Arabidopsis thaliana: one gene and its partner. The protein of the gene in region 2 purifies or fractionates together with the protein of the main gene of each other region. This does not show direct contact. Each region holds a gene or a part of one and is shown on either strand. Other genes may lie near its edges.

Region 1 (3,921 bases), on a different chromosome or scaffold from region 2:
CCTCATGAAAGGTTAAAACTTCCTCTTTTTAGCTTGGCAATGTCAATATCAAGTGGTAAGAGTTCTTGATCAGATTTTTGGGTTGCTTAATTTAAATGGATATATTAGATGGCATCAAAACAGTTGAAGCAAGGTGTTTTGAAGAAGAGTATGATAGGTAGGAGAAGTGAAAAGTTATTGAGCTGGATTACTTCTGTGTCTCTTGTGTTCACAAATGTTGTTTGGTTTCCTCAGAATTCGGAGAGGAGGTTCAATGGTTATGATAAATAAATGTCTAATGTTTGAAGTTCTGGTGAGATATATTTGCCGACATCATGCTTTTGTGTTCCTGCAAACGATTTCTTGTGATTGATTCTCTTAAATGTTGATATATAGGAACTTCACCAATATGCATCCTTTTACGAGCTGTTGAAAGCCGAGAGTTCAGAGAAAGTGTTTCCTGGCACTAAAACAGTGGAAGAAGGTAAGCTTTTTTCTTTGTCTGATCCTTAGCCATTAACTTCTGTTTCAAAGATTTCAAATTTTTTTAGGTATGCAAATGTTTAGGAAGTTATATGATACGGATCAAGAGAATTTCAATGGTGTTGTGGCAATCCATCTTAGTAAATCAGTTGCTCAGCCTTGTGTTGCTTTGGCTCACATACTGTCTGTGAGTTCAAGTTTTTCTCAGCCTTCTCCTTGTGATTTATGATTCTTATTATTCAATGTTTCTTACAAAAACATCATTTAAATGGCAGGGCTTGAGTTACACTGGCGTGCAAAACCTTCTCGGTCTATCTCACACAACTGGATCCATTTTTCATGCTCTGCCTCCTCCTAGATCGATGCTACTCTCTTCATTCATGCTTCCATATAAGCCAAAGGTACCACAAAAACTAAGATATAGTTCGAGAGACATCGTAGTGAATCTTTTGGGGAATGGTTAAGCTGTGTTGTGTGAGATCAAATTTAGAATCTTTCTTTTTTCCTATTGTTGAGATAAAAGGTTGTAGATTGAGCCATGGAGCTAGAGCATTAGCCAAGCATGTTGATCGAAGTAGCGATGGATTTTGGGGTGTTCTTCAGGGAACTGGTAAGTAACAAATTTTTGCAGGACACTGATGCATTTCCATAATTGAGTCTTCCTCTTCCTTTTCTCAGATTCAGATAAAAATGAGCGTGCAATGGACATAATCAATCGGTTCATTGGCAATTGTTGTTGGATGAACATACATATCGTTCCACCACATGGTGAAGTGTTCGAGATAAGAGTAGCTCAAGGCTATGGAGCACGTTGGTCTCGAGATGGAACCAAAGTATGTATATTTTGAGACTTGAAGTATGTATCTTTCAGACGTGTCTGATCATCAATTGTTTTGTTGCTGTTTATTTTTATTGGCAGTTCATTGGATTTCTTGAGCCTTACATGGAGGATGGTCACTCCATGGCCTGGAAGCATTAAGACCGCACCTGTAAACATCTCTGTGTCTTTAGGACTTTGTGAACTTTCTCTTGTAGTTGAATCGTTTTTTCTTTCAACAAGTGTAAATTTGTAACGCTTCTTTTCTTGTGACAAAAAAAATCAAATTTTTTTTTTTTCTAAGAAGGATTTTGTGGTTGATCTTGTTATGATTAGGGTATGAAAAGAAAATATGAGGACCAAAGTGTTAAGACAAACTGTAAATTGGGCAAAACTGTGAAGGGACATTAAAGCGATATATGATTGGGCCTTAAAGCCCATTGTTTGATAAATCGTCCAGAGGGTAAATATGGAATTTCAGGTTTACGAATTAGGGCTTCTTGATACAAAGTTTTTAAGAGATCTCTTTATATCCTCGCGACGGCGAATTCGCTCGACTCTCTCTGTGGACGGCGGCTAGTTTCAACCAACAGATTCGAGAATGGTACAATATTTCTCGGTCTTTCGATTTCGTTTCATATCGCCGTCATGGATGCTTATGATTTGGTTTTCATAGCTCGTTTGCAATCATTCATAGTGTAGTAGAGCTGTTCCTGTATCTTAAGAGTTTTCTCAAAAAATGTAGATTTTTGTATCATTTTCAGCTTTGATTATTGCTTCTTACTTTGTTTAGGATATAGTGAAACGTGTAGGTTTTAGTGAATTAACCAAAAACCTAGGTCAGAGTTTGCTTAATGTGTTTGATGTGCTGAGCTCGTGTCTGCTTATCATGTGATTAACTTTTGATTGGTTGGGATTATTGAATCTTGTATTGAATTTTGATTGATTAATTTGATTAATGTTTGCAGCCTAAGCAAATCCACGAGATCAAGGACTTCCTTCTGACAGCTAGAAGGAAAGATGCACGATCTGTGAAGATCAAGAGAAGCAAGGATATTGTCAAGTTTAAGGTCAGATGCTCGAGGTACCTCTACACGCTCTGCGTCTTTGACCAAGAGAAAGCCGACAAGCTTAAGCAGTCTCTTCCTCCAGGTTTTTTATTCTTCTTAACTCTGCTCAATTTACATTGTTCTCTACTACACTGCATAAATTCTCACACTTTAGATCATTTTAAAACCTTGATGAAATTTGAGTTTGGCATATGGGTTCGAAACAACCTGTCTTTGCTTAATTACATTGCGTGTGTATTGCAACATTCAACATTATTGGATTCATTATGTTATATGGACTTTAAATATAGCTGTGCCTTGAGTTTCATTGTTTGAATTTTGCTAAGTATTTATGTACGTTAAAGTAAGCTTCTTCATCACACAATTTCCGTTGTAAATTTTTCTGAGTTTGGCATTTGATTGCTAAACCCAGCTTTGCTTTGGCTTTAGTATGTTACTATGTTTTTGAAAAGTATCTTCATTCTCATATCTGTTGTACGCGTGTTCTGAGGTGTGGACTATGTTGCACTTTTTCAGGTTTGAGTGTACAAGACCTTTGAAGATGAAGCAAAGTTCTTCTGCAGATTGGAGTTCCTTTGGTGACGAATCCTTTGCATCATTTTATAATTTCCTTAGGAGAGTTTATTTTGTGTCGTTAAATTTATGTTGAGACTTTTCGAGTTTGAGTGTGTTTTGGATTTAATTCAGTTTGAAAAACCAAATACGTTCTCAACTCTGGATTCAATTTGGATTTTTATTTTCAGACTTGAGAGTTGGTACCTTCTCCATCATTTATAATAACAATCACATTCATTAAATGAATCATAACCAAATTACTCCTTGATCTTAGCACTAACTACGATTTTAGGTTATATACTTTTCGACATATCATTTGAATTATAGCATAATAGTCTCAAAACATGTAAAAACCTCATGATAGCACCAAATTTGCAGTATCATGCTTGAGGTGTTGTTGTTATTCGAAACAATCAAATCCATGGGGACCAGGCCCAATTGGAGCTTGGGCTTTTTGGTATATATATTTGTTGGCCTTTGGTGAATCTTCCTTGATCTTAACATTTTCTCTCTATGCGGTTCTCTGTTCTCTTGTTAATTACTTGTTGTTTCCGTAATGGGCCCAAACGCCTTTAAAAGTCAAATTTATTGCTTCAGAGTTGAAAAAATTCAAAAATCAGATTAGTTTGCACACAAATCATCGCGCCGAGAAGCAGAGGTTAGTTATGAGTCTTAGTTATGGAGTCGCAATTCTAAATCTCCATTTTCCGGGAAAACGCGAGAAACTTTTGTTTTCTTTGAATTTGCTCTCAATTTGGAAACTTATTCTTCTATGATCTTCGGTTACTTAGTTATAGAGTTTCAGTGTAAAATACTCTTGATTCTTTTTCCTCATTATCGCTTGATTGTTCGTTTTTTGATTATTTTCCGGGAAAATCTTTCTCGGGAAATTTTGTTCGACGCTTTGATTTTTCTCATAGTTTGGAATCGGATTCTTTCATGGTCTTCTTTTACTTGATTAGGGAATCTCCAGTTTGAAAGACTCTGAATCTTTCCTCATTATCGCTCGTTTGTTCT
Region 2 (3,486 bases):
GATTTTTGGATCAGAGTGGATCGCTATCATGGCTTGCTCCCTCTCCATTGTCGGGCTACGAGATAAGAAGAATGATCATAGACGATGGTTCTGGTACTCTTGTGTTGTTGGATCTGCATTGACCATCTTTTGGCTTTATTACTTGCTGAGGTACACTAGAGAGTATACATTTCTTTTCTTTTCGATACAATCTTGCACTTCGCAAACTTTCATTATTATAATGCCATTGTTAGTGGCATGAATCCTTGTGTTAGTCGTTTATGCTGTATTCAACATGAAGGACATTTCTTGTCTATTCCTTCCATTCGTGCTCTTTGTAAATTTATGCTTATAAATCTCACCCGTGTTCTAGGCTTCCGAAATTCCGGTGGGATGCTATCTGGCTTCCGTTTGGGCCGCTTTGGTATGTGTATCTATCGCTTAGATATAACCTTGTGTTGTTTTATATGCCCCTGTGTATGTAAAACTAAAGTTTGCATCAACTTTTCTGTACTTCGAAATTGCAGTGGAGCTGGAATTTGTCTATACGTGGACCATCTTCTAGAGGAGTCATCTGAGGAAGTGAAAAAACTGAGGAACTATATGTATGCATATAAAGCACGGTAGAGAGATAATAGCTACTTTCAAACCTCGTCAGAGTGAATTTGTGATAGCAAGAGTGCAAGTTTTGACTCTATTATCCCCTAAAGAACATTCTTCTGTTGTTGTAAATAGATACGAAACTCTGAAGTTCGTTTTGTTTAAAAACTCATGATTGACTCGAACTAGATTCCAGTTCATACATGTAATACTCTTGATTTATTCAAGCAATTCACTTGAGAGAGGTGCATAAACTTATTCATAGCTGCAGATATTATCATGATCGAACCAGATGCTCAAACTTTACCGAAACAAGTGTAAGGATTGTTGAAGACTACTTACGACACAAGACTGAGATTCTGTCTCAATCGCATACTATGATTCAAGGCTTAAGGATTCAAGAAGATAAATGTTCTCTCCAATAAAGATTCGAAAAACAAAACTCGAAAAATCTGATCAAATGTTGTTGTTACTATAAGATAGTTTAATCCTCTTCTTCAATGATCTTAGTGCCGAGGCCAGAGAGTCCTTCAGCAGGGATTTCAGCAACAGTGACAAGAGAGAAGAACTCTTCCTTTGCATCTTCATCATCATTTCTCTTACGAGCAACTCGGACTCTGATTCTCCTCGGAGGACCTCTGATACCTTTGCTCCAAATCTGCTTGTTCAATTTAACATCCACTCTCACATCCTTTGTCCCCATTTCCTTCTCAGCAAACTTCCTTATCTCCTTGATCGCCTTTGGAGCCTTCTTCTTAAAGGTACTAGTTTTACACACAAAGAAGATCAAACATTTCAATGTCACAATCCATAGAGAGCAATCGAATTAAAACATTAGCTAAGAGCTCATTATCAACATTCCAATTCCACTATCTAACAGTAAAAGCTTTGAAGCAATAAGACAAAAGTGTTTTTGGTGTTTTGGAAATTACCAGCTATGAAGGCGTCTGTGAAGGTTGATGGTGTACTCTCTGGTCACCACCTCCTCTTTCCTTCCCTTCTTCTCCGACATTTTATGTTTCTATCTTCTCTCTTTACCTGAATATATCAAAACTCAAATTCAGTTTTGACATATGATCTTAAAGACGAGATTAGCTCATTTTACTTTGTCACAAATTTTAAAAAAGGAGATTAAGATAAGAAAGAGAAAGGGATGAGAGTACCTTCTTCTCTCCACAAATGCCGAAATACAGAGCCGGTGGTGACGGAGAAGGATGAAGCTTATATGCGGCGCTCTATAAGAAGAAGAACTAACCCTAGTTGATTTTATGGGCCTTTCATCTACTAGACCTATATTTTTATGGCCCAACTAAGTGTTTCTTAACTCAAAAAAAAAAAAAAGAGTTCCTTTATATTGTGATTAACGTCTAACGATTTTTAACATTTGATAATTTAACTTTGGATAGTTTTTTTCTTATTTTTGAACAAACGTTGGATTTTTTAACTTTGGGTGAAAATATCTTGTTCTGTTTACTGTTTATATCACAAAACTAAATTATTTAATATACATTGTATTAAAAGCTAGCAAACTATATATCAATGTGGGCGTTTGGTCTAGTGGTATGATTCTCGCTTTGGGTGCGAGAGGTCCCGAGTTCGATTCTCGGAACGCCCCATTCATTTTTTTACTTTTTATATTAGATTTTAGAGCAATGTTCAGAATTTGGAGTTTTGCCAAAAGACACAAAACATAAAATGAGTTGTGTTTCTTCGTAACTGTCTGTTATAATCTTGAAATTTGAAGAAATCCACAAACTTGATAGAAAAGGTTCACATTCACACAGGAACCAAAATATCACATAGAACAATAACACTCTTGCATCACAATAGCTCAATATAAAGGGCTCACAATCATATGACCCTAAAGATCACAAAGAACAACAATACTCGCTCAATATAACCTCCTGCAAATAGTGATACCATCGCCAAGCGCAGCTTGCGAGATCTGCACACGCTGATCAGCCGAGAGTTTCTTGTTCAGCTCGAGGGTTGCTTTCTTGACTTCTATCCTCCACTCGGGCGTGGACGAGTCCGGTTCAGCAACTGATCCTCCCCAGAGAGTGTTATCATACACTATGATCCCACCAACCTTGATCAATCTAATAAGCCTCTCATGATAGTTCCAATAATTCAGCTTGTCTGCATCCACAAATGCGAAGTCGAATCCACCCTCATTCACTTTCTGCATCACAAACATCAAAACAAAAAGACCATCTCAGGATACATACTAATTCTTTTTTTGAAAGACAAAGAAGTATGAAGTTGTACATTGTTTAAAAGCTCGTCGAGGGCTGGAAGAGCTTCAGACTCTTTGAAATCAATTTTGTGTTCAACACCAGCTTTCTTTATAACCGGCAATCCTATTTCATACGAGTCTCTATTCATGTCAATGGCGATAACCTGCAGAGCTCGTGTACCAAATCAGTTGCAGAAATGATACAGAAGCAAAACAACGAAAAACATCATGACACTTTTTCTTTTGGTTTGGTCATATCTATGCAAATACCTTGCCATCTTCTGGTAGCGTAAGAGCAGTGAGGAGAAGAGAGTATCCAGTGAAAACCCCAACCTCGATAGTCTTTCTTGCATTTACCAGATTCAGCAGCATCCCCATCAACTGGCCAGCGTCTGGTGCAGTAGCCATACCAGCTTGAGGGTGGTTATGAGTAATGTTCCTAAGCTCCCTGAGAACCTCTGGCTCGCGTGGGTACACACTAGTCTCCAGTATATACTACAACATTTTTCACAGAAATGTATCAGAGAAATGGAGAAGTGAACTAACGTAGAGATGAGTATGTAAGGACAAACTTTATAGAGCTCTTCACTTTTCAGCAATCCCTTGGCTTCATCCTTAGCCATTGTGTCTCACAATCTTCGTTCCTCAAACACTGTAAAGTCTCTGCTCAA

Evidence for each region.
Region 1: the proteins of AT4G26230 (region 2) and AT2G43460 fractionate together in Arabidopsis thaliana (co-fractionation; one large-scale study listed by BioGRID). This does not show direct contact.

What each region holds. Positions count from the first base shown.
Region 1 is NC_003071.7:18,045,252-18,049,172, reverse strand, and holds AT2G43460 (Ribosomal L38e protein family), read left to right. Parts: upstream 1-1,771; 5' UTR 1,772-1,880; coding exon 1,881-1,883; intron 1,884-2,247; coding exon 2,248-2,431; intron 2,432-2,865; coding exon 2,866-2,888; 3' UTR 2,889-3,208; downstream 3,209-3,921. Other genes in the region: AT2G43465 (RNA-binding ASCH domain protein), read left to right, coding at 1-11, 109-157, 235-292, 376-463, 531-649, 738-863, 979-1,072, 1,141-1,295 and 1 more.
Region 2 is NC_003075.7:13,284,131-13,287,616, reverse strand, and holds AT4G26230 (Ribosomal protein L31e family protein), read right to left. Parts: upstream 1,881-3,486; 5' UTR 1,743-1,880; intron 1,618-1,742; 5' UTR 1,592-1,617; coding exon 1,512-1,591; intron 1,344-1,511; coding exon 1,064-1,343; 3' UTR 826-1,063; downstream 1-825. Other genes in the region: AT4G26240 (histone-lysine N-methyltransferase), read left to right, coding at 15-150, 353-403, 507-606; AT4G26220 (S-adenosyl-L-methionine-dependent methyltransferases superfamily protein), read right to left, coding at 2,471-2,761, 2,848-2,979, 3,086-3,310, 3,388-3,438.